5 linked regions of the Canis lupus familiaris genome follow. The protein of the gene in region 1 interacts with the protein of each later gene in a biochemical or structural test. Links are inferred from orthologs where the notes say so. Each region holds a gene or a part of one and is shown on either strand. Other genes may lie near its edges.

Region 1 (6,365 bases):
TTTTGGGTGCCCTGGGTCCCTGCGCCTGTACCATCCTGGTGTACCTCCCTGCATTAAGGCCATACCTAAGCGATGCATGGAACGTTGCTCACCTGTTCCAGGGCCATACTTGGCACTGTGGGTCCAGCCTGTGGCCTCTGTGAAGCCCAGCTCCCGGCAGAGGACGTGGGCAGCCTGAAGCGTGAAGTCATCATCACAGATGGTGCCCCACTCGCCAGCTCGCTGGATCTCCACGCGGCCCTCAAAGGGCTTCCTGGGGAAGCCGGCCAGCCGGAACCGCAGCCCCTGGCTCCCAGCCATCTTCTCGGGGGCAGTGGTTGGGGATGGAGATCCCAGGCAGGAGCTGCACAGCAGGCACAGTAGCAGCCCCCATGGGCTCCACTGCCGGATACTGACAGGTCGCATGGCAGGGAAGGCCTGGGTGCCCCAGAGAGAGAGTGTGTAAGAGAAACTGAGATCAAGCCAGGCGTGGGTCCCACAGAGAGATCAAGAGGGGAAGAGGGACGCCAAAGGACAGAGACAGAGACAGTGTGAGAGAAAGACAGGGACCCAGGAACTAAGTGAGAAAGAAATACAAACTACATAAGAGCAGAAACACAGAGTCCGAGAGCTCAGACTGGAAAGCAGGGCAGGGAGGAGAGAGGCACAGACACAGAGACAGAGCAGCTCTCCCTCACCAGCAGTTGTTCGGTCTTACAAGGCCCTTCCCCATCACCTCCATTTACCCCACCCACTAGTCTAAGGGACCCAGAAATCAAGACAGTGATTAGAGACCAAGAGGCAGAGAATGGTTGAGAGAAAGAGATAAAGACTGGGCAAGAGGGAGACCCAGACAGGATGTGAGAGGAAAGGAAACTACTGTGGGAACGAAAGAGGACTGAACAGAGAGAGATGGCAGAGAGCGACAGTGTGGAAGATGGACAGAAGGTGACCGTGAGATGGCCAGCGGCACACAGCAATGGTCAGACTCGGGCAACAGGTGAGGAGAGGGACTGGCTGGAGCCAAGGAGGGGTTGTGGGAGGGACCCAGACGACCCCATTCAGCCAGTCAGACAGAGGGCAGATAGCTACTGGTTGTGGAGAGAAGCAGGCGAGGGGGCTTAGGAGACCCTCAGATCTTCGGTTCCCTGATGGGAAGTCAAGCTCAGAGTCCTGTGTGGGTAGATTCCACCGCAGAGGGCAGAGACCAGGATGCGTGGAGAACCCCCTGCACACCCTATCAGCACATAGGCTCTCACATACCCTGCAGGGTCAAGGGGCCCAGGAGGGCCAGGCCTCAGGCTGGGAGGGAGAGCGGGGTGGGGTTGTCCAGACCTCCTGCCAACAGTGCTGTCTCAGGGCAACCGGAGGCCAGGGTGCCAATGAGCTCCTCAGCCAAGGCCTTCCCTCTGTCTGGGGCTGAGAACAGCCCCTCTCCAGCAAGGGGCCCCTGGAACATGCTTTCCCCAACTCAAACAAACAACACAACAGGACAGCTTTGTTCTGGGGACATTCTGGCTTGGGGGCCCAGGGGTAGGTCCTCACAGAGGAGCCTCTAGCCTTAGGGCCCTGGCAGCAGCCCTATTTGGAACACCCTGCAGCCCCCCACCCGCCAAATATCTGCCTCCTCTCTCCACTCTACTGTGTCTCACGCTAACAATGCTAAAAGCCCTCTGTTGGTTGGTTTCCCTTCGACCCCATCCTGCATCACCCCTTTTCCGTGGTCCCTTCACCATCCTCGCCATCCGAAACTCCCCTTTCTGCCGCAGCAGCGTGACTCGCCCTACCTTTGGCTGAGCGGGGCCCTAGGTGCTGGGAGAAGAGTCCAGGTCCTGGAGATCAGTCCTAGGACTTCCCAAAAAAAGTGCTCGGCCAGGGGAGACTGGACCCCCCCTTCCTCCCCCCTCTCCTTTTGTCCCTCCCACGTCTCCTTGAGCCCTCCCACATTCCGCCTTCCTCCTCGATTCCTCCCCGGCCAGTTCCCTCCTCTTCTCCTTTTGGTCCTCCCCTCCCCCGTGGAGCTGGCCGCGGCCGCCCCACCTCCCCCCGCCCCCGCCCCCGCCCCTCCTCCCGGCCTGCTCAATGAAGCTTTCTTTTCCCGCGGGCTGGAGGCCGCGCGGCTGCGGTCACGGAGCTGGACACGCAAGAGGCCACGGGGCCGCGGACCGGCCCGGGCGGCGGCCCCTGGGGCGGCGGGAGGCCGCGGCTCAGCTCGGGGCTCCGGGAAGCCTTCCAGTCCCCAGTCCCCAGCCCTTCCCCCACGTCCCGGGCTCCGCGGAGTGTAAACAGCCGGACTCCAGCCGGGCTGGGGGCGGATCCGGTCAGGCGAACTGAGGCGAAGAAGGCCCGCCTCAGCCCTTCGGTGCCCCAGGGTGCCCACTGGCATTTTCGGGGTGACGTCACGGCCTTCACTCTGATGTCACGTTGAGCATATGACATCCTACCCGGCCCGTAAGCCCGGGCGCCAGAGCCCCGTGGCCGAAGCCTCGAGGCTTCCCTTGGCGGAGCACTTGTGCGGGCCTCGGGCCGGTGGGCCGGGGTCTGAAGGTGGCGCGCGGCCCACCCCGTCTACGGACCCCCGCGCCTTCCCTCAGGCTGCTCTGCTCGCTCCCGCTCGGCGGCCCGCGGAGGCCGGGGGAGGGGCGGAACGCCCCGGGAGGCCCGGCCCCGCCCCGCCCCGCCTCTAGCCCGCGGGGCCAGGAAGCGCGGAAGGAACCGCCGGGGGCCATGGACGGGGCCGTGATGGAAGGGCCGCTGTTTTTGCAAAGTCAGCGTTTCGGTACCAAGGTAGCCCGGGGCAGGGGTCGCCGCGCGCCTGCAGACCTAGGAGGGGGCTGTGGAGCCCGCGGGGGCGGCAGCGGGTTGGAGCGCGGGGCGGGAGCTGTAGACCCCGTGACGTTCCCGCGGAGTTGATTTCCCACCCGGGAGAAGCGTCCGCTGGCCTCGGGGTACCCCCCCACCCCCCGGTTCTGGGCGGACGGAGCGGCTTCCTTCTCGGGAAACTGCGCCCCGGTGGGGAAGCTGCAGACCTGCAGTCGGCCTGCGCGGGTCTCCTGTCCCGTCGGGGCCGGGCCGCCGGTGCTCGCCCGCTCCCTCGCCAGCGTCTCTCGCTCTCTCTTCCCAGAGGTGGAGGAAGACCTGGGCTGTGCTCTATCCTGCCAGTCCCCACGGCGTGGCGCGCCTCGAGTTTTTTGACCACAAGGGGTCGAACAATGGAGGGGGCCGAGGGGGCTCGCGCCGCCTGGACTGCAAGGTGATCCGCCTGGCGGAGTGTGTGAGCGTGGTCCCTGTGGCCGTGGACAGCCCCCCCGAGCCTGGCGCCGCGGCTTTCCGCCTGGACACCGCGCAGCGCTCCCACCTGCTGGCGGCCGACGCGCCGTCCAGCGCCGCCTGGGTGCAGACCCTGTGCCGAAACGCCTTTCCGGTGAGGGGGCTGGGGCGAAACGCCGTGGACCCAAGAGGCGACGGGGGTGGGGGCGGTTACAGGAGCCGAGGGCCGCGGCTGGCTCGGACCCCGGGAACAGCGGTGAGGGAATTGCAGGGATCTCGATACTCCCTCTCTTTACCCCAGAAAGGCAGCTGGGCTCTGGCGCCTGCGGAAAACCCACCCAAGCTTTCTGCCCTGGAGATGCTGGAGAACTCGCTGTATAGTCCCACCTGGGAAGGTAGATGCCTGAGAAGCCTGCGGAGGGATGGGGTGGAAAGGACGGGTGCCTTGAGAAGAGAGTGGTTAAAGGGTCAGGGACCCATGGGGAATAGGAAGCCCCTGAAGCTGGTTTCCAAGTGAGTGCTTGGACAACCCGTCCCCACCTCCCCAGCCCTCTCACCCAGCAGTCTGTTGGGTGCCCATCTAATTGTGTATTCTTTACAGGATCCCAGTTCTGGGTAACAGTGCAGAGGACAGAAGCCGCTGAGCGCTGTGGCCTGCATGGCTCCTATGTGCTGAGAGTGGAGGCTGAGAAGCTGACTCTCCTGACCGTCGGGGCGCAGACTCAGATACTGGAGCCACTCCTTTTCTGGCCTTACACTCTGTTGCGCCGCTATGGCCGGGACAAGGTGCAGGGGGCTGTCGGGGAGAATGGGCATCCCAGGTCGGGATAACTGTGGGATGGGTGGGTGGGGTGGGGCAGGACAAGAAGATGGCGAGTTCTGTCCTCCCGGTAACCCTTCCTTGCCTAGCCTGTGACCTCTGCCTGTGCGCCCCCCCCCCCCCCCCCCCCCCCCGCAAATAGTTTTTTCTTTGTAGATCCTCTGTAACTAGGACAAGCCCTGTGACTCATCTCCTCTCCTGGCTCCTGGTAATGTGTTTTCCTCCACACCTTCTTCAGGTCATGTTCTCTTTTGAGGCTGGTCGCCGCTGCCCTTCAGGCCCTGGAACCTTTACCTTCCAGACAGCACAGGGGAATGACATCTTTCAGGCAGTTGAGACTGCTATTCATCGGCAGAAGGTCCAGGGAAAGGAAGGTCAAGGGCAGGAGAGTCTGAAAGCCGACTCCCACGAAGGAGAAGTGGCAGAGGGGACGCTGGCATCCCCGCCTGGCCCTCAGGAGCTCCTGGGCAGCCCTCCTGCCCTGTATGCTGAACCCTTAGACTCTCTGCGCATTCCTCCAGGCCCTTCCCAGGATTCCCTGTACTCAGACCCCTTGGACAGTACTGCTGCTCAGGCAGGGGAGGGAGTACAGTTGAAGAAACCTCTTTATTGGGACTTGTACCAGCACGTGCAGCAGCAGTTGCTGAAGGCCAAGCTGACGGACCCCAAAGAGGACCCCATCTATGATGAACCTGAGGGCTTGGCCCCAGCTGCTCTCCGGGGCCTTTATGATCTGCCTCAGGAGCCCAAGGATGCATGGTGGTGCCAGGCTCGGGTGAAGGAGGAGGGTTATGAGCTCCCCTACAACCCTGCCACTGATGACTACGAGGTGCCACCTCCTCGGAGCACAAAGCCTCTCCCAGGTCCTAAGCCCCGGGGCTTAGCCCTCTCTGAACCTGGAGCTGCAATGGGCAATGGCAGCAAGGGCCACAGCGCAGACACTGCCTTGTACAGCCAGGTCCAGAAGAGCAGTGCCTCAGGAAGCTGGGACTGTGAGCTGTCTAGAGCAGGGGCTAACAGGACTGGAGTCCAGGCAGAAGGCTCCACGTGAGAGGTAGGGTGAGGCGGGGGTTGCTGATAGGACCCCCACAGGGAGGTGGTACTGGGGATCAAAGAAACGTATTAGAGCCTGCAGGAACCAGAGGGCTGGAGGGTCCCCTGTAAGCCAGCCCAGGGGACCAGAGGGATCAGGGGAGTCAGGGGAAGGATGATCAATCTCAAGAAGTCCTGGAAGTGGGACAGATGGCAGAGGTGAAGGATGGGGCCTGAGAGAGACCAGCACCCCCAAGTCATCCTCCCCAAAGGAATGGACAGCTGCTGGACCAGGTCTATGACAATGGGGGCTTTGTCTGGGTTGGTACAGTTTGAGGGGGCTGAATGGAGGCTACAGGGTGATGCTGGACTGTGCCTGGATCGTCACCCCTGTTTTGTTCTTTGCCAGAGACAGATTTTAAGAAGTTTATTCTCATTAAAGTCAGCTTGGGTTTAAAAGGTCTATGTGTGTGAATAGTCACAGATGGGACATGGTGGCAGGGTGTGCTGGGTTGGTGTGGAGGGGTCAGGAGAATGTACTGGGGGCCACATAAAGAGGAAGGAGTCTCAGGGAGGTGAGCTGAGCAGTGTGATTGTTGAGAGCCTCGGTGGTCCAGTGAGGCCCACTTGGGCTTGAGACTGTCTCTGTGATGCTGGGCGAGCTCTAAAACATCTGCAACTCTCATTTGCCCTCGGTGCCCCTCTGTAAAATAGGAAAAACCCAACAACAGACTCTACTTCACAGGGCTATTTGTATGAAAGGAGTTAAGTTTCTCAAGTACTTAATGCAGTCTGAAGCACAAGATTAAGCATTTTATACATGGTAGTTATTCCATGGATGGAGAGGGCCAACAGAAAGGTAGACAGGCATGGACAGAGGGGAACAGGAAGGCAATAGGTCTTTTTCTCAGCTATATGATACCACTTGCCCCAGCACACACACACTTTACCTGTAGGTACTAAGCATCAACCATCTTTCTGTTTGAGGGTTGAAGGGAACTGCTATGTGGTGGGTATACTGGGAGGAGCACAGGCTTTGGAGGCTTAGATTTTGGTCATACTTATTTTTCATGAGCTCTGAAAATCTGATCCTTGTCTCCTGAGGTCTGGTTTTCCCAAGGTGACCTAACCTCATCTACCTGCTTACAGGGAACTACAAGGAGAAATTTGGGGTTAGGAATGCTCCTAACAATGGTAGAGACTTACTGGGTATTTAATCTTCATCTGTGTTAGTGGTATCAAATGATCCAAAAGAAAATGAAAA
Region 2 (5,695 bases), on another chromosome or scaffold:
ACAGGGTGGCATTTCCATCACCCTGCCCCTCCTCACGTACATAGAGAGACAAGGCACAGGGCGTGTGGACCACAGTGAGAGAGGGGCACTTCGGGCACCGGGGCAGAGGGTGCCAGGATGGGTTCCCAGGTGTAGGGAAAGAGCACACCTGTGCACAGACTAGTGCTTCCAGCCAGTGGCATCCAGGCCATCCTTCCTCCCCATTTCATTGATGCTGTGATAGCCTGACAGGTAGCACAGCCCCTGGACTCCTCTTCCTTCCCAACACCAGGCGTGGGCCCTGCGGTGGCAAAGCCCACTCACTCCCAGGGCTGCTGGCAAATCAGTGTCAAGGGCACAAGAAGGACCCAAGGCCAGACCAGGGACACCCCTTCTGGAAGACCAAGGAAGAGGTGGGATGTTGGTTTTATGCTATAATTTTGCCACTGTTCCATCCTGTAAAACCCACCATGGGGCTACTGGTCCCCCTTCGGGGAAACAAGGACCCTCACCTCCCCAAATGAATGCCACGGCTCTGAACAACAGGGTAAAATTATAGACCAAAGCAATCTGCCCGAGTTCTTAATGTTGTAAACATTTATTTAAAAAATACTACGGAGAGATGTGGATTCAAAAAACAGAGTCATATACAGAAAAAAAAATGTACTGGACCAAAAAAAAAAAAAAAAAAAAAAAAAAAAGGCCCCATAGTTGAGAAGGGAGAATAGTGGAAAACTATTTACATGTCATTTATAAAAGAGCAAGTCTACAAAAGAGTGTAATACCAAGATATAAATGCAAAATATAGTGGCACATCATGTGAACAGAGAGAAACCAGTACCTCATAGAAGGGCAGTTGGTGGGAACCTGGGTGGGGTCTGTTTTACTTTGTCTGCAAGGCCGCTGGTGATGTTTGAGCACCTCCCTCAGTCTGCCTAACAGAAGCAGCCTGGGGGGGCGGGGGGGCGGGGGGGGAAGAGGTGATGCACTGTGAGGACAGCGTAAATTGATCCAGAGGAAACCATCTCTACCAGAGAAACAAAATACAAGTTTAGGCAAGGAGCATTAAAAACGGGGCCTGTGTGCGGTCATGGCATGAGAAGGTGTGGGGGTGGAAGGTGGTTGTCTTGGTTTCTCCAAGGGCTGCTCCCAGGCTTGGCATGAGGCCCAGGAAGGTGCCTGTCTGCTCTTCAGTAGCTGCTCTAGGTCAAGGTCAAGATGGTCCGGGGCCGCCTGGGGAGAGACCAATGCCTGCTCTTTGAGACACTTTCTGGAGCTTCACTTGATTATGGTCTTCTTCATCCCTGATAACCCCAACAGAAACAGGGGACTCCATGCTGCTCACGGTCATTTAATAGGACGTCTGCCCCTTAGTGCACGGCCAACAGTGGCTGAGGCTTTGGATCCACAGTCCTCATCCTCCCGTGCTCTGGTGGCAGATGGCAGGTCCTACTGTACCGAGGGTGGCTGGGCTGAGGGCGGAGCCATGAAATGCTTCAAGAACTCCAGAAAACTAAGGACTGGCTTGTCACACAGGAAAGAGTTTTGCATCAATCTACTCTGTCTCAGAGGAGTGCAAGGGAGGAGGAGGAGGTCGGTCAGAAATCAAGACCAAGTGGCTTTTCTGAGTACCTGGAAATCTGAAAGGAAGGTGACCTGGGCCCGTGGCAGACCTGCCCTAGGCCCAGCCCTAGGCCACCAGCTGTTCACCCAGGGAGCACCCCCCCTCCAACTCCCCTGTTCTTTGACTGCAACCCCTCCTACCCTTAAGACTCAAGCTTTCTATCCAGGATGAGCAGTGCATGTCACAAGACAGCAAGGAGCTGAAAGAACAGATAACAAGGACAACCTCCCACCCCAAAGGCCTCTTCAGCTCCCCCACCTGTCCTAGGACCCAAAGGCTGGTTGGTTTTAGCACCCTGTTTTAACCCCCAAATCAAGAGCTGTCCTTCATATGAGGAAGTGTGAGGGCACCAGCCCCCGGCAGCAATGGAAGGCAGAGTGACAGCATTTCCCAGGATATAGTTCTGGAAACATGTCTTCAGTGCAGGAGGCACCAGAAGAGGAGTGCAGGCTGCCTCCATGCGGTAAGTGGAAGGGATAGTTCCTAGGCCTTGATGACAAGGCTCCTGTGCAGGGCACTCGCTCTTGGGGGGAAGTGGAGGAGATGGCATGGCCAGAAGAAGGCCTCTGGAAACAAGAGAGAAAAGGAAATGCTCATCCGCTTTCCCACCTGGCCTGAAGAGCTCAGTTCTGGAGCACGGCATGGGGAAGAGGCTGGCGGGCCAACTGGAGTCCACAGAGCAGGAACCCCACAGATAGAACTCAGGACAGAGGTGGTTCAGGGAGCCTGGGCTGGGGACAGGAAAAGTGCAGAAAAACAGCTGGCGCAAAATGTTAGGTAGTAGGGCTGTGCTCCACAGTGACCCTCTCAGCTCCTTTCACATGGAGCTCCCCGGCCAACGTCCCAACTCTCTGGTCTGTGTCAGCCACTGTGGCAGGCATGGGGCAGCCTCACACACTGTAGGCGGCTCCAGCTGGCCTGATGCCTGGCTTCTGCTACCTCTGCACGATGTCACTGATCTCCTTCACGGAGCTGAGGAGTTTGCTGAAGTCCTGAGTGGCCGCCGGGCCACTCCCTGCTGTCGCCGGGCAGATCTGAAGTTCCCGGAGATTATTCTCCAGTTTGTTGATGGCCTCACGGAAGGCGAATTTGTTCCTCATTTGCTGGATAGAATCCACGTAGCTCACACAGAATGTGTAGAGATTCTTGCCGGCTTCAAGTACAGCGCTGTGGCTGGCCATCTGCTCGGAGTTCTTAGAGATGGCGAGGCACAGAGCCTCCGTGCCATCCAGGACCACACCCTTGGTGATGGTGCCACTGGCGATCCGCTCAGGAGGCTGGCGGGTTTTCCGAAGAGACACACGGGTTGATATGAGAGGGATGAAGGCAGTGGAGGCTGGCTGGTCCACAGCCAGGGCAGAGGATGCGGATGACAGCGTGGAAGGGGCGGAAGCCGGGCTGGCTGGGGTCCCCGCCGGCTTGCCGGACGACTGCGGCTTTGGCATGGATGGGAGCACGGGCTTTTTGACGCCTTCTCCCAGCAGACCGGGCTTGACGGTGTCACTGTTCACAGCATCCACAACCACTGCTGCGGCTTTGGCTTTCCCACCAGTGCTGGCCTCCCCAGCTGCTTCCTGGCTCAGGCTCTGAGAAGGCTTCCCGGCTTTCCCAATGGAAGCTGGTAGTGGGGGCGGTGGGACAGGTTTGAGCTTGGACAGTTTCCCCTTGTCTCTCCCTGGGGACTCGGAGGAGGGCTTGTGCCTCCTGGCTCTGGGCTCCTCTGCGGGGGCCTTGCTGGCCCCTCCGGACATCCCTGGCCCTCCTCTGCTGGCAGGGGTCCCCAGCTCAGCTGTGGTAGGGGTCCCCAAGGCACTGGACTTCCCGGCCTCGTCTTTGTGGGGAAGGCTGGAGGAAGGAGCCCCCGACACCTGCTTGCGGAGGAGTTTTGGAGTCAGACTGGGAGGGCTGGAGCCTGGACTGGACTCCCCCATGTCTCGAAAGACCTCATCTGCTGCGTCCTCAGTCTTTTTCACCAGCCGGGGTGGGGGGGTCACTGTGCCTCTGGTCACCTGGTCAGACCTATTCTCACTCGCCCGTTTCCGAGGCAGAGCTGGCTTCTCGCTCTTGTGCCCTCCAAATGTGGACGAGTCGAACTGCCTCCCTGTGGACTGCAGATCCCGAGGCAGCGTGACAGACCTCCACTCTGTGTCCTTGGCCCCGTGGGGCACACATGAGGCCGAGCAGGACCTCAGGAAGCGCTTGCTGGAGCTGCCGCCACTCTCCTCCTCATTGGCGGTCAGGCGGCTACTGGTCAGTGTACTGGACTTTTTCCACAGGTGGGGAGACCGGAAGCCTGGTCCCCCCGACTCCCGGAAGGCTCCATTCGGGACACCCGCCCCGCTGCTGGGCTTTGGGGACTTGGCTGGCTCGGCTGCGTCCAGGGTGGTGAGGGCTGGCACCCCATTGCTGGTTTCTCGGCCCTCCTCCTCAACGGCTGCCTTGCGCTCGGGCTGGCCGTCCATCTCCCGGAAGGAGCTGCTGCGTTTTGGGGGTGTTGGGGCCGTTTTCTTCTTCTTTTTGATCAAGGCACTGAACAAGTTGGTCTTTTTGTCTTTGGGGAGAAGGCGCTCATCTTCATTTAGGCTGCTGTCTTGGGGACCCCGTTCTTTTCGAGGGAGCAGTGGAGACACAGGAGGCTCGTGATCCAGGGGATCTGAAACACAATGGGAAGACTTTTAACATCTCCAGACCAAAGGCTCCTTTGTGGGGGGAACCTGGGGCTGGCCCCTGTCCTCTACAGAGGAGCAGCCCAGGGTCAGGGCTCTGGCAGGCCTACCTGTAAGCACCAGCTCTGCCACTCCCAACTGTGGCCTGTGAGTGTCCTCAGCTCTCTCATCTATGAACCGGAGACCACCACCTACCCATAGCATTGTGTGAACGTCATGCAGTGAGCATACAGCGTTTGTCCCAGCTATCAGTACATAATTTCTCACGGACTGTTAATACTTCTAGGAAAGGGGGATCCCTGGGTGGCGCAGCGGTTTGGCGCCTGCCTTTGGCCCAGGGCGCGATCCTGGAGACCTGGGATCGAATCCCACGTCGGGCTCCTGGTGCATGGAGCCTGCTTCTCCCTCTGCCTGTGTCTCTGCCTCTCTCTCTCTCTCTGTGTGACTATCATAAATAAATAAAAAATTAAAAAAAAAAATACTTCTAGGAAAGGTACAGGACAGCAGCACAGAAAGCCTGGGCAACCCAGCCCCTCATCCCTGTACTGAGGCTTCCTTGACAGCACAGAGCCCTCCAATACCACTATCTGGAGTGTAAAAACCACCACAGGGCTGAGCAAAGGGTCAGGCCCTGTGCCTTTCGGGCCTGCCAATTGAGATTCCTAGGAGGTAAGGTCCAAAGGGAAGGGGTTGTGCACCACAGTGACAATAGGCTATTATGCTTGGCAAACAAGAAAGAGTGACCTTTACAAATTTTTAAATGGGCATTCTTTATGTATGAATAATAGCTCCTAAGAAATCTTTCTGGTGTTGCCAAGCTCCCGGCTTAGTGAATGATAGACTTCTCCCTCAGAGGGCAGCTGTGAGGAGAGTAGTTTTCTATCAGCACCCAGAGCAGCCTAGGGCATGTCTACACCCGGAGCAGAGGTACAATGGGGCATCTATCAGAACATCAGACAGCATGCAGGCCACCTGACTCAGGGGAAGCTGAGGACCTCCAAAACTTTAATCCAGGAGAAAAAGTTGAAGAACGCGAAATTCTAATGAATTATGCACGGCTCTATTTCAGCGCTGAACAGCTAATTGACACTCTGGGCTCACCATGAGATTACGTATCAAAATGAATACTGACGGGCATAAATGAACATGATTGCTTATCACTGGGCTTTTAATCAGCCTGAGGTTCCCACAGGGGCCTCTCCCCATCCCCACTGCTCAACTACCTGAAATCATGACAACGAACAGAAGGACAAAGGTCTGAGCTTCTGGAGACTATATGCCATGGACTCCACAAAGTGAGTGAGCAAGACGATCCAGGGGGCTATAAAAGGAAGCCCTATAATTTGGATTTACTTCTTAATGTAAATCTTCTAGGTATACATTTTTGGTATGTTTTATAATACACATGTCTGTGCAATAGTACGTA
Region 3 (5,695 bases), on another chromosome or scaffold:
CCCTGTGCCCCGTCATAACCCCTCACACTGAGTGCCCAGTATGGGGTCTCTGTCCCCTGCTGCTAGAGACTGGTTCCACCAGCTGCCCCAGGCCCTCCAACCCCAGGTCCCTAAGGAGGGCACGTCTAGGGGCACAGCATCCTGCTTTAGGCCCTGTTTTCTGTAGTCCTGGGTCCTAGACCCAGTCCTGCCCTGACCATATGCCCCTCTGTGGGGTCTGGGATGATGTGCCCTACTGAGTAGTTACTGAACCCAGATCCCTGCCCTGGGAGCCCTCCAGGATCCCTGACCACCACCACCTATCTCATCTCTCATAGGCTCAGGACAGTTCCCTGGACCTTGGCGAGCCTTGACACTAGCCATGCCTGCTGCCCATCATGCTGCCCCCAGCTCTGGGATGCTCAGAAGTGGCTCTGGCCCAAGACCAGGTCAGGGGGATAGGGTCCCAAGGGATGAGGGACAGGGGGTCGGTCACTCACGTGTTGTTGACAATCTGGAGCCGCTCCCCTTTCTTGAAGGACAGATCGGTCTCTGTCCGAGACTCATAGTCATAGAGGGCCACAAAGGTGGTCACTCCACCTGCAGAGAGAGGTGGGAAGTGTCAGAATGGCCAGGGTCATCGCTCAAAAGAGGGGTGGACAGGAGGGCCCTGGGCAGAATAGAGGCTGGTCTCCCACAGCCGCACAGCCCAGCCCAGAGCCGTGGCCACCTTTACAGGGGCTGGCCCAGCAGTGAGTGTGTCCACCTGTGTGCATGTGTCTGGGTACCCCTGTGAGGGTGTGTAGGAGGCGTGTGCGTCTCTTCACATCTGAGCGTGCCCACTGGGCTCTGGGTGATCCTGACTTCTGGCTTCTGTTTAGTGCCCATCCTCCACACAGACCCAGAAGCCCCCAGCAACAGGCTTCTTAGCACACAGTAGGTGCTCGAGAAGCGACTGGGGGTGAATGAGCCAGTGAATGAAGGAAACTGCACCCGGTTGGGCTGTTCTGTTTCTGTGTCTGTGTGACTGGGTGTATTGGGGGAGAGCTCAGTTCCAGGTACTGTGCCCTCAAAGAGATCCCTCTGTCCCCCATTTTAACCACAACCTTCACCCCATACCCCCCAAGACCCCCCCTGCCCTTTTTGCTCCTTCAACGGCAGCACCGCCTTCGAGCAGCCTACACATTTTACGAGCCTTGCTCTGTTTTTCTCCCCCATGCTCTGCATACTGCTGTGTCCCCAGCACCAGAAGAGTCCTGGCTCACAGTACGGGCATCACAAATGAATGGGTGTGTTTGTGGGTCTGTGTCTCACTCGGGTATGTGTCTGTATCTAAGGCATCCGTGAGTGTCCCTGTGTGTCCGTGCGTCTGTGTGTTCTCACTGTGTGTATGTACATCTGTGAACCTGTGGGTATCCGTGATGGTGCTCCTAGCTGAACCTGTCCGTACCCTGTGTGTGTCTTTGAGGGGCTTCTGACTGCCTGTGTGTGTGTCTTCATCTGGGAGTACGAGGTTATCTGTGCGTGTGTGTCTGTGTTTGCGTACATCTGCCTGGTTGCATGTCTGTGCCCGTCCATGTGTCCCTAAGTGGGTCTCTATGTCCACAGTGTATCTATGAGTATCTCATCTTTGATGGTGTCTCCAGCTCATCTCGTTCAAGGGTCTGCATAGGTATCTTAGGAGCTGCTGTGTGTGTGGCCCTGAGTGTGTCGAGGGAAGAATGCACGTGTTTGTGTGAGTGTCTTCCAGCTGTGTGTCTCTGAGACCACGTTGGCATCTTTCCGTGAGCATCCCCGGCCTGGGACTGCCATACCGCGAAGCGCCAGCAGAGGGCGCAGGGGCGCATCGCGGCGCTGGGCCAGGCCCCTGAGAACCAGAGAGCTGCCTCCTGCCCTCCCTTGCCCCCTCTGCCACCCAAGGCCTCCCGACCTGACCCATCGCTGGGCTGCCCAGAGCAAAAAGCAACGCCTCAAACCCAGTCCTCATGCTGCCCTGAGCCAACAGCCCCCGGGGCCCCCTGCACCTCGGTTCCCCTCTGCAGGCCCATATCTCTAGACCCTGTTACTGTCCACTTTGGATTTGCTCTCAAAGGCAGTGGGATTTGCACCACACTGTCCAGTTTATAAAGCTCTTCCCCACCCACAGTCTCCAGGAAACCCCCAACAGTCCCCAAGCCCAAGACACCCACAGCCCTGCTGCGAGAGAGGCCCGGCCCGCAGGCACCCACGCTCCCAAAGCCCACTGACCAGCCAGCGGCCCCGCCCGCTGCGGGGAGGTGACCGTGTCCGAGGAGTTGAAGCCCCCAAACAGCTTGGGCTCAGCAGCTGCGGAAGGGAAGGCTGTACTGGGGCCTCGGTGGCCATCAGCGGAGGCTGGCTTGCTGGGTGTCTGTGAGGTGGGGAAGGCACCCCCGCCGCCACCGTGGGTGTTCTCAGCTGGCTCTAGGCTGCGGCGCCGTTGGCTGGCATCCTTGGGCTTGCTCTTGTTGCTGCCCATGGTCCTGGCTGGAGATGAGAAAGCACACTGGGTGAAGGACTCTGGGAGCAGGCAGGGCTGCTGGGCCCGGGCCCTTTAGACAGCCTCCACCCCCACCCACCATTCTACAGACGAGGACACCGAGGCCCAAAGAAGGGCACCAGCCTCTTTTGGATAAGTTAGACTTTCAGAGCCTCAGTTTTTTAACCTGTAAAATGGGGATAATAATGGGACCCATAAATGGCTTCCTTGGGACAAAGCCAGGCACAGAAGCAATGACTCATAATCAGAAGCCCTAACCTCCCTCACTTCCCCCTGAGTCAGTTTCTGTCGGTCATGGGCAGGGACAGTATCTGAGTCATGGCCATATCCCAGGCATACAACACATAGGAGAGGGCTCACTGAGGGCTTGCTGAGCAATTACATGACTGACTGAGATGGTCTCACACCAGAGTGAAAGGTGCTAATAGTTGCAGCCAAGACAGGGATACAGAGGAAGCTGGAAGGAGAGATGTCTGGGAGCTCACCCAGCCACAGGGCCTTTGCACATGCTGTTCCCTCTGCCTGAATGCTCTTCCCTGACCACTTCACCAGAATAACTCATGCCTCCTTCAGTTCTCAACTCAAAAGTCACCTCATGGGGAGGTGTTCCCCAAATCCTTTCTGGTTTAAGTACCCCCTTACTTTTGTACCTCTCTTGATAACACGTGGCCCAGAAAAAAAAAAAAAAACAAACTGAAAACTCTCCAGTGATGCCCATAGCCCCGCCACCCCCTTTTGCCTCCTACCTCCCACTCCACAGATCCTGGTTGGTCCCAGCTTCCAACAAATGTGGCCAGGGTCTTCCCACCCATCACGGCCACCCCTCCCTATGCCCCCCATCTTGGCAGCCCTGATGGGCCATCACCTCACCTGGGGGAAGGCAGGGGCTGTCCCAGAAGGTCTGGGAAGCAGCCTGAGGTCTCAGCACGAACACCAGGTCAGGGGTCTTGAACTAGAGGCCCTGCTCCACGTCTCCCTGCTATGTGACCCTAAGCAACTGACTTCCCCTCTTTGGGCCTCAACGTCTTCATCTGCAAAACAGGGAGAAGGCAGACCTCTCAGGCTGTTGTATGGATATGATTAGAAAGAGAAATCACCATGGCCCTGAGTCTTGGGTCCCAGTTTACCAGGCTCTGACTCTGACAGTTCCAATGCTAAGAGCTTCCCAGACCTTCCCTTCCATCAACCTTCCCAAAGCATTTTATGAGCATGAGCAAGGCAGGGTATGACGCAGCGGTTAAGAGTGGGCTCTGGAGCCAAACTCCCCGAACTCAGATCCCACCTTTACCCTCATCGGCCATATCACCTCAGGGTAATGACCTAACCTCTCTGTGCCCTATTTCTTCATCTGGAAATGATGGGGTCATCAGGGTCCATGGTAAGTGAACGAGGCAAGTATGTTCTTGCTGGGAATGAGGCAGGTCATCCCACCACATCCGCTATGACTGATACTGTGTGATTCTGGATATACCGGCAAGGTAGGTTTGGGATATTCTCCAGGGAATGCTGCAGGCCCTGGAATCAGTCCAGAACTTCCTCTGGGAACCCATGGATGGGGAAAAGTGTTCTTGACTGGTTGAGGCCTTAGGCAAGACTACCGGCCCTGAGCCCCAAGCCCAGCTCTGCAAGCTCTCCTCCTGCAGGAACTTTAGCCAGTTCCTGCACCCCTGAACCCCTCAGGCTGACGGACTGCACAATGTGGGCGTGGCCTGCATGCTCCCTGGGGACCATCCAGCTCAGAGAATGGGCTGGGGAGGCCCTGAGGAGACCTGCTCAACAGCCCAAGGGATCACCAGGGCCTCCTGAGGGACAGGCCAACAAGCCTGGAGACAAAGAAGACCAAGTTCCATGGCAACCCAATCCACCGGGGTCATATCAGCACTCATATTGTTGGTGTCCCGTGGGTCCTACTGACCCAGTTCCCCGCGGCTCCAGGCTGCACCTGCTACGCAATGGCTCCCTGGTACAGCATTCACAGCACTGACTGTGCAGCAGAAGCTACGCTAGTCCATGGAAGGACACAGGGACGAATTGCCCGGGCCTCGTGTCAGGGGACACATGCTTTAGCAGGACACTCATTTGTGGGACTTTCGGAGGAAACTAAAACTATAAAAAATATTTTTTAAGGATGATTTAAAAAAAATTTTTAAATGGAGAACTTTCTAAGGGCCTGAACTTTCTTTATTTTCCTTTTTAAGATTTTATTTATGGAGCACCTGGGTGGCTCTGTGGTTGAGTGTCTGTCTTTGGCTCAGGTCGTGATCCCAGGGTCCTGGAATCAAGTCCCGCATCTTCCCCTTCTGCCTATGTCTCTGCCTCTCTCTGTGTCTCTCATGAATAAATAAATAAAATCTTTAAAAAAAAAAAAAGAAAGATATTATTTATTTATTTATTTGAGAGAGACAGCACAAGTTGGGGGTCAGGCAGAGGGAGAGGGAGAAGCAGACTCCCCACTGAGCAAAAGCCCAACGTGGGACTCAATCCCAGGACCTCAGAATCATGACCTGAGCCAAAGGTAGATGGTTAACTGACTGAGCCACCCAGGCATGCTGAATTTTCTTTAGATTGAACTAAATGATGCAGAGGGAGCTCCCTGTCACTGGAGGTAATAATCAAGGACAGGAGAAAGAGTCATTGGGTGGTGTGCTATAGAGAAAAGAGGGAGAGTCAGGCCTGGATCTTGAGCACCGTCCCAGCTCCTAGAAAATGCATGTGCCCTTTTTGGTGGGGGTGAGGGAAAAAAAGACAGCTCTTGCTCCCAAACTCTTACACTGACCCAGACTCCCCAGCAGGGCACTCAGCAAAAGCACAAGAGAGCCTTCAAGACCCAGCCAAGGTGGTCTGGTCTCCTGTTGCAATGTTTGTTGGTTGGAGGAGTTTCTGTTCTGTTTGTTTTGTTGGTCTTTGCGGTTAAAACCAATTACGTACGTAACACGTGTTTGTGGAAAGGCAGGGGTGTGGAGGTGAAGAGCTAGAGTACTAGAGTGTTTGAACCCCAGCCCTACCACCCCATCATGGGACTCTGCCTCAGTTTCCTCCTCTGTCAGTCGGGGAGACCGGCACTGATCATCTAGTGCCTTTGACCAAGCCCCCTGCAGGCAGGACTGGATCATATCCATCTCCACCACCCCAGTGGCCAGGACAGGCCTGGCACCTACTACTACTTATTGCTCTGGAAATATCTGCAGAATAGACAAG
Region 4 (5,633 bases), on another chromosome or scaffold:
CTTTTTTCACAGAAATGTGTTAAGAGGTAAACGTCCTTAGAATCCCCAAGTCTGTTGTGTTTTCATTCTCTTAATTTTTGTCATTTTTTAAAAGAGTGTTAGAAGAGACCTTTAGAAAGTATTGTTTGTCCTTTCCCTCCTCTCTATTCACTCATCCCTACATCCCTCTGTAAGAACATCAGGTGCCTACCATGTACCCAGGTGTTAGGCTGACCCATAGCAGAGAATAAGGCATATGAGCCCCTGCCCCTATGCAGCTCATATTCAGGAGGAGAAAGAGAGACAGAAGATCTGAGAGATGGCCAAGAGAGGAAAAACACAGTGATGTGCCGGTGCGGGGTCAGTGTACCAAGGCCTCTGGCCCAGGTTGTGACCCAACACCTTTTTTTTTGTTGTTGTCAGCTTGTGAGCGAACAGTGGTTTGCCAATTTTTAAATGGTCAGCAACAATGAAAAGAATTTTTGGATACATTGAAAATCATATGACATTCAGGTGTCAGTGTCCATAAATAAGATGTTATTGGGACCCAGCCCCGCTCGTTGGGTATTGTCTGTGGCTGCTTTCACACGACAAAGGCAGAGTTGGATAGCGGTGACAGAGACTGTATGGCCCGAGAAATAGGGAATATTCATCATCTGGCCCTTTACAGAAAAAATGCTCTCACCCCTAAGGTAGGGGGCACATGGGGCTGGGGGGGTGCAGTGCTGAGCAATGGTGCAGGGTGGGGTAGTGGCAGCTGCTTCAGATCTGGAGCTCTGGGAGGCCCTTCGAGACTGGGATGCTTGAAGAGAGACCGAAAAGACAGAAGTAGCCAGTTAGGTGGAGATCTGAGGATAAACTCTTCCAGGTGGAGGAAACAGCGAGTATAAAAGCTTAAAATCTGGGGCCCGCGTGGCCTACTCAAGGAGCTGAGAGAGGGCCAGGGCTGCTGGTCCAGGGCCAGGCACGTCGGCCCCAGGACACACAGGCCACGTTTAGCTCCTGACAGTCCTCTAGTTTCACGTTTGATTTTTTTTTTTTTTTTTATGTGTTTGGCTTTCAGAAAATGTGTGCTTTTGCACCAGACCCTCTAAAACACTCGTTAGACATTAAATTCAGAACCGCCCCCCACCCCGACAGACAGGCAAGTTAAGCCAACTCGTGGCAGCTTGGTTACCATGCAGCAAAGGAAGTTTGTGCCATTATTTGAATGTTTTCTCACGGAGGTTTTAGAAATTAGCTTTACACATTCCAATCCTACGTAAACGCATTCCTCTTGTGAATACATACTGAGCACATCACAGGAAGGGCTGAGTTCTCCGTATCTCCCACCTGCTCACGGGTCTTGCCCAGAGGTAGCTGAAGTTTGCAGGTGGCGTGTGTCCTTCCAGAAAGATGTAAGTGTGCTTGCATAGCAAAGATCACAGAGTATTGTTTTGAAAGTGTATGTGAGAGTGTGAGTGTGTGAGTGTGCGTGCGTGTGTGGGAGGGATGTCATGGTATATAAATATATACGCCACCATTGACATATGTCATTTTGCAATTTGCTTTTTTCATTTGCAGTAGGTGTAAATTGTACTCTGTGGAATCGTGGGGGCCCAAAGCACGTGTGTCTCCAAACGCCCTGCACCACTTCCTTTAGAGCAGCTCCGCTTTAGATGTTTTACATGTGGGGCCTTTGGGTTAAATTCTGTTTAAAGAACAAAATTGCTTAACCCCTCCCCCCCAAAAAAAACAAAAAACTTTGCTAACTCTTTAAATGTGTTCTGCCCCTATCGCCTTATAAAAAAGAAAAACGCACAGAAAAATGAAAGTGTAGATTCTGATGTTACAGGGCACCCATCTCAAGACATAAGTGAGGTTGAGAGGAAGATGGAAATCACCAGGCGTGGCCACTGAGGCAAACATTTAGCTTCAACCGGATGCTTCTTGGACTTCAGTCAACTGTGTTTTTGATTCTAAGAGGAACAAAAAAATGTAAAGAACGTGTACAACATGTAATTCGTAACTCAGAGGCGTAAGCCTATGGTTTGTCTTACTTTAGGTATGTCCTGGATGATCAATACACAAGTTCTTCTGGTGCAAAATTTCCAGTGAAGTGGTGTCCACCCGAGGTGTTTAATTACAGCCGCTTTAGTAGCAAATCGGACGTCTGGTCATTTGGTAAGAACACGGTTCATTTTTCCTCAGCTCTCCTCGGATGAGACAGTGGATGCATCCTTTGTAATCCTTATCCTTTCCTAGGTGTTTTAATGTGGGAAATATTCACTGAAGGCAAGATGCCCTTTGAGAAAAACACCAACTATGAAGTGGTAACCATGGTTACCCGGGGCCACCGACTCTACAGGCCGAAGCTGGCGTCCAAATATGTATACGAGGTGATGCTGAGATGTTGGCAGGAGGTAGAAAAATTTTTGTGCTTTCTTTCTGAATCTCTAAAACATTTAGGGATCTGGGCTTGGTGGATTAAGAGTGTATAGTCTTTGCAGCCTGGTGAGTTAGTACGTGGTGTATATGGTTTCAAACTCTAGGTCGAAAGCCAATCCTCTCAAGTCAGTTCTGAATAACGAGAAGAAGGTGGTGAAGAAGTGGAAAACGATAATAATTAAGATCATAAATTCAGTCAACTGTGGACATTCAGTCAACAATTCCCCACGCCCAAGTGGAAATCCTGTCACAGTTGCCCGAGTTAGGGACTCAGGGAATAAGTCCGGAGAAGTAGCTCTTCTTTCACCGGACTGCTTGGATTTTTGAAGTATAAAACTCTTCAACCAGAGAGGGTTTCTTTCACCAAACGTCGACTTCCCCCAGGTCTCTTTCCTCACAGCCTTTGGAAGTTTTCCTTCCTGGTGTTTTGAAACGTCACCTCATAGATGAGACACCAAAATGATTTTGGAAAGATTATATAATATCAGCTCACATGTATTGTGTGCTAGGCACTGTACTACGTGCTTTAGATTTCATTCTCAGAAGAACCTTTTGAGGTGCAGAGATTTTTACTGTGACCACTTTGTGGATGAGAAGACCAGGGCTTCTGAAGCTGACCCTTGCCCAAGGCCACTTTGCTATAGAGAAGCAGAGCCCATGCTCTTGAACTCTTGCTATAATGTCTCCAAAGAACACTGATTGGGATGGAGAGACCTGAGCAGGAAGTGTTGCTGGGGGTGGGAGAGGACGGTGGGAGCAAAGGTCAGATGGTGGTAGTGAGTGCAGGGTGTGTACAGATTGGTCTGAGTGAGCAGAGAGCCCACATGAGGGTTCTCGTGGGAAATGAAATTGGGCAGCAAGAGGGTGCAGGAGGGACAAGTTATAGGGGGCGCTGCAGGTCAGCAGGTCTTGGTGTTGCAGGCAGTAAGGAGCTCTGTCAGACCTTGAACGGAGACCCACAAGCAGCGTATAGAAAGGTTCGTCTCGCCACTCGCCACAGTATGTGCGGGGTAGAGTAGACCCATTTGGAGACACCTGAGTGCTCTAGACCCGAAGCAATGTGTGCTATGTGACGTGAGTTTGAGCAGTGAGAAATTATTTGGGGGATGAATTCTGGAACCCACAGCTTCTCTTTGATTTTTAATTGTAGAAACCAGAGGGAAGGCCTTCCTTTGAAGATTTGCTGCGCACGATAGATGAACTAGTCGAGTGCGAAGAAACTTTTGGACGATGAGTGGTGTTGTGATCCGTGGCGTCCAGCTTCCGAAGCATGAGGAAGAGATGGCCCTTTGTGGCTAACTTTTAATTTATTTAGTACTTGGACATGTAGATGGTTTTACTTACAAAGTGGAAACACCTAAAGCATTTGCTTCTAGCCCAAATGGGAGCTCTGGGACTGAATCCTTCCAACTATGGAAATGCTGCCTAGGGAGGGTGATTAAGAACACTCGCTTTTATCCATCCCACAAGTACTTGAGTGCCCACCGTGTGCTAGGTACTATGCCCGGGCCCCACGCTTTGCCCATTTTAGGGGTGTATGGAGGGCCACGTTAGCTGGTACACCGGTACACTGGAAGGTCAGGCTATTTGGGAAGGAAAAGGGAATTAGAATCTTATTCCACCAGCCTTTCTCTTTCCTTCGACTTCTACAGAAATCTGGGCCTGAGGCATTGTCTAGAATGTGGGTTCTGGGTGAATCAGGAACCCACCTTGGATAAGAACTCATCCTTTGTTTTGAAAACATCTGTTTTCAAGACTGCCATGAGTATTACGTTAAAAAATATTTGTATGCTGTATATATTGTAAATATATATAATATATAAAGATATATATTTATAAGAAACATGAGTTGTCTTTTAATTAAAAATTCTAATTCTGTAACATAAGAGTTTACCTTTTTAGGATTAGGGGCTGTGCCTTGCAGCTGTCAATTTCTCTTCCCCCAGGGATCGAATATGCCTTACTGAAGAGAAAGAAGTCTGGACCCTTCTACACTAGTGCCTCCTCCCCACTTAGGCAGACACGTTTGGGGGTGTCCCCAACCAGCCCCATGTTTGGGCTGAGTGACCCTGCCCCTAGTATACATAACTAATTGGAGTTAGGTAAAAAATTGAATGAAGGGCAATCAGTGACTTACTTTTTTTTTTTTTAATTTAAATATTTTATTTATTTACTCATGAGAGACACAGAGAGAAGCAGAGACACAGGCAGAGGGAGAAGCAGGCTCCCTGTGGGGAGCCCGATGCGGGACTTGATCCCAGGACCCCGGGATCATGACCTGAGCCAAAGGTAGACACTCAACCGTTGACCCCCCAAGCATCCCAACCAGTAGTGACTTTCTACATCTTAAGAATCTGCCCCAGGACATAGATGCCATCAGTGGAGGTGCTGGGCTCTGGGGCAGCATGATGAGGTGATGTTCCCAACAAAGCCGCCTCCACTGCCAGCAAGACCCAGGAGCAAGCTCCCATTGTGGCAGAGAGGAAAATGGAGAGCATGGCTTATTGAGCTGTCTCCTGGACGGCTTTAGGGAGATCTGGATGGACTTAGGTTCCTGGATCCGTGAGATGGCCTATTAGAGACTCATGGTAGACCCTGTGGTCAAGTTTGAGTGGGTTTCTTACCCTTACGGTCACTGACGAAGACACCAGCTGAGCTGGAACCTTCATTTCTCCCCCTGAGCCCAGGAGAAAGAAACAGCCTCTGCCGTCAGTAGCCAAGGCCGTGCACGGCCCCACACATTTTTCTTGGTATTTGGGGGGTAGGAAGCCGAGGTGCACACAACATGCAGGGCCTTTCTTCTGGAGTTTGAACTGTTCTGGAGACTGCCGTGGTGTCCCCTGTAGCACAGCTGTTGTGTGAACGTAGAGCTGTTGCTGGCTGCTCTGAGCAGCGTCTCCCTGCGACCCTGGAGACCCATCTCTTCCCCTCCTGGCCTGCCCATCCACCGAGAACTATCGTCTACCCTTCCTTAACCTCCCTATAATGGAAAAAAAAAATTATCTTAGGGCTTTTTACAGTCTGTTTGCCACCTTCCTCCTCACCTTCCTGTGTAGCTGTACCCCCATCGCAAAAACATACGCACCTTTTAACTGACTCGTTGGAGTTGGTCAGTCTCGTTAGCCTGGAGTCTCAGTACCGTCTATGATGTCTTTCTCCTCCTCTTCTCCTTCATCCTGCCTCCTCCCATACATCCCTGTCCAGTCCCATACTTCCCTTTTCAGCTG
Region 5 (5,695 bases), on another chromosome or scaffold:
GATACTTAGGAAGCAGATGAAAAGGTCTTGGACTCAGGTTTAGTTCCCATCAAAGCCCTTCTGAAGTAGATAATTTGAAGTGAGTCTTGAAAGAGTAGTATGGATGCAAGTAACTTCTTTCACACTGGTTTTATCCCTGAGGTAGCAAATGAGGGACACTCAGGCAGTACTGGTTAGCTGCACAGCATACTGGTGTGGTTGTATTTTTAACTGGATCTGAATACATTAAGGCCGAACATGGGCACCTCAGTCTCCTACCCTAGCATTCCCTAATGCCGTAACACCTGGCTAACCTGGGAATCTTTTTGATAAACCTATTTGTTTTTTAATGAACTGAATTACTAATATACTTTAGTTTTTAACTGACCCAGTATCTGTAGGTCTATAACAATAAAATTAAGCTTTACTAAGAAATACAGGGTCTTAGGGAATTTTTTAATATATAACCATTTCTATTAATTTATAAATAGTGATTTTTTGGTAGTCCCACTGAATGAAGTATAGTATTAAATCCATGTGTTTTATTCCTAGTGAAGCCCCAAGAACATTCACTCTACAGTCCATTTACTTATTTAACCTGGTCAGATCTGGGTCATCTATCTTGTTTCAAGTACAGCTAAGTACTGCAGTAAAGAGATGAACCAGCTAAAGGGATAATGGAAAAACAAGACATACTAAAAAATAACACAAGAAGCACAAAAGCTACCATAGTAAGTACTTGATATAAACCATTTGGTGTAAAAATAAGTGGTTATAATCAATAATTTGCTTATGAAAGTAGACAAAAATAGGCAGCTTTTTGCTTTTTTTTTTTTTTAAGTGGAGCCCAATGTGGGGCCTGAACTCCTAGCCTGAGATCAAGAGTCAGAAGCTTAAATGAGTTAACTCTCACTATGTTAACTATAGGTCTCAAAGTACTTTAAAAATTATATACATACCCCAAGTTCATCTAAAAACATGATCATACGATGTTTGTTACTTTTGATAAATGGATTGACACCCTCCATATAGGGCTCCTAAAAATAGAACAAAAAGCTTACTGTATGCATCAAAACCAAATGTGTAGCAAGAATTCTTATGTATCTGATTATGTACATCAACAGCAGTACATGTTCACAAGAATTAACTTTTCCTTCTAATAAAAGCTATACCAAGGAACTAGAGTATTTTAGTGAAAGAGTAAGAAATTCTGGATAAAAATAAAACCCAGAGCACCACCCCAAGTGATCAAAAATCCATAAATAACTTGACCCCCCAAAACGTGACTGATAACCTAAAGTTAATTGACACATATTTTGTATGTTACATATATTCTATTGTGTATTATTACAATACAGTAAGGTAGAGAAAAGAAAATACTAAAATAAAATACATTAAAACCATGAATAAGTGGACCCGTGCAGTTTGAACCTGTGTGTCAGAGGTCAACTGTAATTCATTCAAAAATAATTATTGAGAAACTATTATTTGCCAACTGCCAAGATCAACATGGGCCCAACCCAGAGCTTAGAATCTAGCAGAGAATATAATTAAAATACAGTGTGCTAAAGACTGCAACAGGAATAGGTAATAGAACCTTTCTCACTATTCAGATAAATTCAGAAGCTAAGCCATACAATAAACTGCTCTTCATACTAACAACATATTAAGCTTATTTAAAAATGTGCTATGATGTAAAACAGAAAATGTTTAGTATTAACAGAAGCTCTTTTAAAGTCAATACACAGAAGATGATAAAGACCTCATCAGTCAATTCCAATGAAACAGACGTGAAAAATCAAAGTAACATTATTCCATCAGGTTGGCAAAAAATAAACAATACTGAATTTTGGCAAGGCTCTGGAAAGCAAAAAATCTTACTTAGGAATTTTCCTCCAAACTAAGTTTAAGGAAATAACTGGAAAACTTTGAAAGGAAATCTATATGGATACTTGTAACAGTGACAAGTTGGAAGCCATCTAAATGTTAAGTAAAAGACTACTTAACAGCTATATGATGATGTAATGATTGTTATGTTTCCGGGTATGGCAAGAAGTTTGTTAAATACTGACAAAATCAGGCCACATGGTACAACCACTACTAGATTATTAACAATCCTTATCCTTATGTAGGATCACATATAAATGTTTTAAGACCTCATCTGAGTTATTTACAGTAAATGTTTATGGTGAAAATAAATAATAGGTACATTTAAAAATATGCTTACTTTTATATTTAAGAGTAGGAAAATATGAATATATTGGAAATAGAAAATGTAATTTTCTGTATACTTGCTAAAACAGTGGTTTTTAAAATTTCATTAAAATATACATTTAAAATATACATTACTAAAATATAGTAACATTTTTAAAAAGACATACATACCAACAAAAATGTAATAGTCTTTATGCAAGAGACACTACTGAAAACTTTATATTCTATGGTTTTATCATCTCAAGGTTTCATTTGTGATTTATCAAAATGTTTTTACCTTAGCTCCAAATTCCACAAGATTTGCTAAGTTCTGCACAGATTTAGCCACTAATATCAGTGTTCTTGCAGCAATAGGAGATGGGGAATCTATAAAAGAAAAATTGGGCACAGGTAATGACACAGACTCCAAAGGCATTTTCAGGGAAAGCAGTATAAAGTTTAACACTTAAACATTTTTTTCCTGCTAAAAATACTGACATTCTTGGAAATGACATGACCTGTGTAATTCACAAGAAAACCTGAATTAAAGGGGGGGGAGTTAAATACATTTATTAATACTTCTAGTTTGTGAAAAGTTGCTGCTACAAGACTCAGCAATTCTCAGCTGGTTGATATTTCCCTTAAAGCTTTATCTTTATTGCTAAAAACACTGTCACTCCACACACCTGCTTCATGATAATTCACAGCTAATTCCAACCCCTTCAGGTTAGCAATTTGCAATCTGAGCAATTCCCTATTACCAACCTCCAAATGACTACAAAATCACTTTAGAGCTCAATAACAAAGATAAAATCTGGGACTTCTGCTATATATTGAAGAGAAAAAAAATAGTATCAACCGTAAAGATTAGTCCGGAAACATTTCCCTAGAGAATATACATAGTATGGTGTAAATGAAATCCATCTGTAGTGATTAACATATAAGCCCTGAAACATAACAGAATTATGTAACTAAAAATGTATAGGTAGGTCTATCTGACTGCCTGATTTTAGATTAATCTTAAGCTGAACTGTAAATGAGTATTGCCTAGTGGTTTGGAGGCCAACATTCAGATAAACTAATCTCTCCAACAGAATGCTAAACCCGTAATTCTTAATAGAACCATGGTTTTAACCATTTTAATAGCAATAGAAGATAATGACAAGAGATGTGATGACTATAATAAGGTAAAACTTAAGATGCAGTCCAAAGTATTTTTGAACACAACTTTGAGCTTCTAATTACTAAAAGAAAAATGGTTCCGGTTCCTTCTGTTTTTAATGGCTCATTATTACATTTGTAGTCACAAATAACACTGTTCACCTTTCTTTGAAAGAAACTTATGGCATCTGAAAGTCCTTGTATAATGGACATATGGGCAGTAAGCAAACTAAATCTGGTTTGTTGGAGTTTAACATTATCTAACTGGTCACAAACTTCTGTATCTCTCAAGGGCCACTGTCAAGTATTCACAGAGTACTACTGCAACTGTAGTTATCTTTTTGACTTTAAAATACAGCTTGCAATGGTAGTGACAGGGTCTGGCATGGGCTAAGAGAACACAGAATCCTCTTCCCAATTGAAAAAGCCAAGTTGCAGAGTGGAAAAAAATCATCATAATGAGAGTTGGAGACACAGGTGGGAATGGGGAAAAAGTGATACGTGTCTAATCAAGCCACCTCAGGTTTCAGATACTAGATGGAAAGAAAAGCAGCAAAATGCAGAAGGTAAAGTAGCAAAAGGAAAGAAGGAGATAAGGATGCGTTGGAATGTTTTATATCAAGTCTTAGAACTGGAGAATAATAAAAAATCAGATGAAAAAGAAAAAATGAATAACCTTACCAAATAATATGAAATTTTATTCTAATTTTTTTAATTCCAAAATTTTATCAAAAGCTGATTACCTGAGATGATATTAAACATCCGTGGATTCAGGATGGCAGGACAGATAAGTCGAAGAAAAACAAAACCACTGAATGGGAGGGAAATTTTTTCTTTTTAGAAAACTACTATATATGTTACATAAAAATAATAAACAAAAATTTTAATACTTGTAGAACCATGAGCTTTGAACTGATGTAAAAAGCCCAAACAAAGTTTTAAGAAAATAGCTTAAGTATCTTACTTAAGGTATGTGTATCTCTGCTTCTTACACTATTTACTTTTCCCAAATTTGGAATTTTCAGTTTATTTTGGGAAGATGTAAGTTACATCTGTAACATTTACTGTCTTGACAACTCCTTATTTATTCCAGTATACTTACTCTGAGGAAGCAGTAGCTTTAGGAACACTAAGATTTTCTGAAATACTATAGGAGTATGAATTAATCCTTTTTATAGAGACAGGCCTATATGGTGCTAAAACTCTCATTCTCTCACTTCTTTCTTTCCTTATTTAAATAGAATAGCCAAATAAAATCTGTATAAATCAAGTTGATTATAACTGATTTTGCTGGTGAATCCTAAAAATAAGAATCCATTCTAGTAGAGAAAAGTGACTTCTTGATAAATGGAAATGTATACAATAGAATGCTATAAATATAAAGCTTTTATTAAAAAGACCTCACTTTTCACCTTCTCCATTACAGAGAGGATAAGTCAACTTTATGACATTTACTTTCCAACCTAATGACAGCTTACTACTTTTTGGACTCTTAGAAAATGATTGTTACTTCTCAGATACCATTTATTGCAATTATAATACACAATTATCAGCTCTTTAAATATTTTTTTAAACTAATTTATGAAGAATCTTGCACAAATTTGCTTGAAAACATTTTGATACTTGTTTGAATTTGAACCATAACCTATAATTTAATCATGAAAGAATTTCAGTATACAAATCTATTTTCTGTGAATTTGTAAAGGTGATTTTAAATTTAAAAGGAATACTAGATACATACATATATATTTAAAGGCTTGTTAGTAGGGACAGAAATCATCACCTTGGGCATCAATACCCCTTAAAAACCCTATCGTGTCAGACGATTCACACAGCAGAAATTCCTGCTGTGTTTGCTTAACAATTATATTTGTTTGAAACAGTTTACAGAGGCTTTAATTTACATCACACACAAAACTGTGCTGAAACTTATGCCACTAGTGAAAAAATAGAGAATCTGTCATTCGTTCTTATGTCATATCATTACTAACCAAGAGAAATATTCTCTACGAAAGTAGAAGCCTCTTTACAAAACTTTGGTTGAGGGCAGGATTAACACTTTTTTTTTCAAAACTAAATGTATGCTATTGGTGTCTTCAGTGGTTGTCTAGTTTTTGTTTTTTTGTTTTTTTTTAATGGGATATAACATGACAGCAGGATGTATTCTACTGAATCTATTATTAGTAGACCCCTATATTCTCTGATGCTTTGACACTGATTTCCAGTGGTCTTCAGTGGGCCGGGTGTACCTATCAAAAGCCTACAATGGTGTCAGAGATCTGACTGGATCTTAGAAGGCTGGCCTTTAGTTCTGCCTTAGTACGACCCCTTTCTATATAAAGTTAAGCAAACAATTTTAACT

The links.
Region 2: the proteins of DOK1 (region 1) and ABL1 form a complex in vitro, tested with the Homo sapiens proteins (5 studies listed by BioGRID, with this or other methods). The link is inferred for Canis lupus familiaris from reciprocal best matches to the Homo sapiens genes DOK1 and ABL1.
Region 3: the proteins of DOK1 (region 1) and SRC form a complex in vitro, tested with the Homo sapiens proteins (2 studies listed by BioGRID, with this or other methods). The link is inferred for Canis lupus familiaris from reciprocal best matches to the Homo sapiens genes DOK1 and SRC.
Region 4: of the proteins of DOK1 (region 1) and TEC, one has a biochemical effect on the other in vitro, tested with the Homo sapiens proteins (2 studies listed by BioGRID, with this or other methods). The link is inferred for Canis lupus familiaris from reciprocal best matches to the Homo sapiens genes DOK1 and TEC.
Region 5: the proteins of DOK1 (region 1) and RASA1 form a complex in vitro, tested with the Homo sapiens proteins (2 studies listed by BioGRID, with this or other methods). The link is inferred for Canis lupus familiaris from reciprocal best matches to the Homo sapiens genes DOK1 and RASA1.

What each region holds. Positions count from the first base shown.
Region 1 is NC_049238.1:49,088,778-49,095,142, reverse strand, and holds DOK1 (docking protein 1), read left to right. Parts: upstream 1-2,605; 5' UTR 2,606-2,706; coding exon 2,707-2,766; intron 2,767-3,008; exon of another isoform or gene 3,009-3,103; coding exon 3,104-3,403; intron 3,404-3,550; coding exon 3,551-3,644; intron 3,645-3,850; coding exon 3,851-4,035; intron 4,036-4,307; coding exon 4,308-5,120; 3' UTR 5,121-5,564; downstream 5,565-6,365. Other genes in the region: LOXL3 (lysyl oxidase homolog 3), read right to left, coding at 93-405. UniProt on the Homo sapiens protein: DOK proteins are enzymatically inert adaptor or scaffolding proteins. They provide a docking platform for the assembly of multimolecular signaling complexes. DOK1 appears to be a negative regulator of the insulin signaling pathway.
Region 2 is NC_049230.1:53,209,537-53,215,231, forward strand, and holds the end of ABL1 (tyrosine-protein kinase ABL1), read right to left. Parts: intron 4,257-5,695; coding exon 2,539-4,256; 3' UTR 562-2,538; downstream 1-561. UniProt on the Homo sapiens protein: Non-receptor tyrosine-protein kinase that plays a role in many key processes linked to cell growth and survival such as cytoskeleton remodeling in response to extracellular stimuli, cell motility and adhesion, receptor endocytosis, autophagy, DNA damage response and apoptosis.
Region 3 is NC_049245.1:26,565,001-26,570,695, reverse strand, and holds part of SRC (proto-oncogene tyrosine-protein kinase Src), read right to left. Parts: intron 3,529-5,695; 5' UTR 3,368-3,528; intron 2,485-3,367; 5' UTR 2,477-2,484; coding exon 2,227-2,476; intron 580-2,226; coding exon 480-579; intron 1-479. UniProt on the Homo sapiens protein: Non-receptor protein tyrosine kinase which is activated following engagement of many different classes of cellular receptors including immune response receptors, integrins and other adhesion receptors, receptor protein tyrosine kinases, G protein-coupled receptors as well as cytokine receptors.
Region 4 is NC_049234.1:44,669,714-44,675,346, reverse strand, and holds the end of TEC (tyrosine-protein kinase Tec), read left to right. Parts: intron 1-2,023; coding exon 2,024-2,142; intron 2,143-2,223; coding exon 2,224-2,381; intron 2,382-3,556; coding exon 3,557-3,640; downstream 3,641-5,633.
Region 5 is NC_049224.1:21,205,169-21,210,863, forward strand, and holds part of RASA1 (ras GTPase-activating protein 1), read right to left. Parts: intron 4,145-5,695; coding exon 4,077-4,144; intron 2,560-4,076; coding exon 2,471-2,559; intron 1,017-2,470; coding exon 939-1,016; intron 1-938. UniProt on the Homo sapiens protein: Inhibitory regulator of the Ras-cyclic AMP pathway. Stimulates the GTPase of normal but not oncogenic Ras p21; this stimulation may be further increased in the presence of NCK1.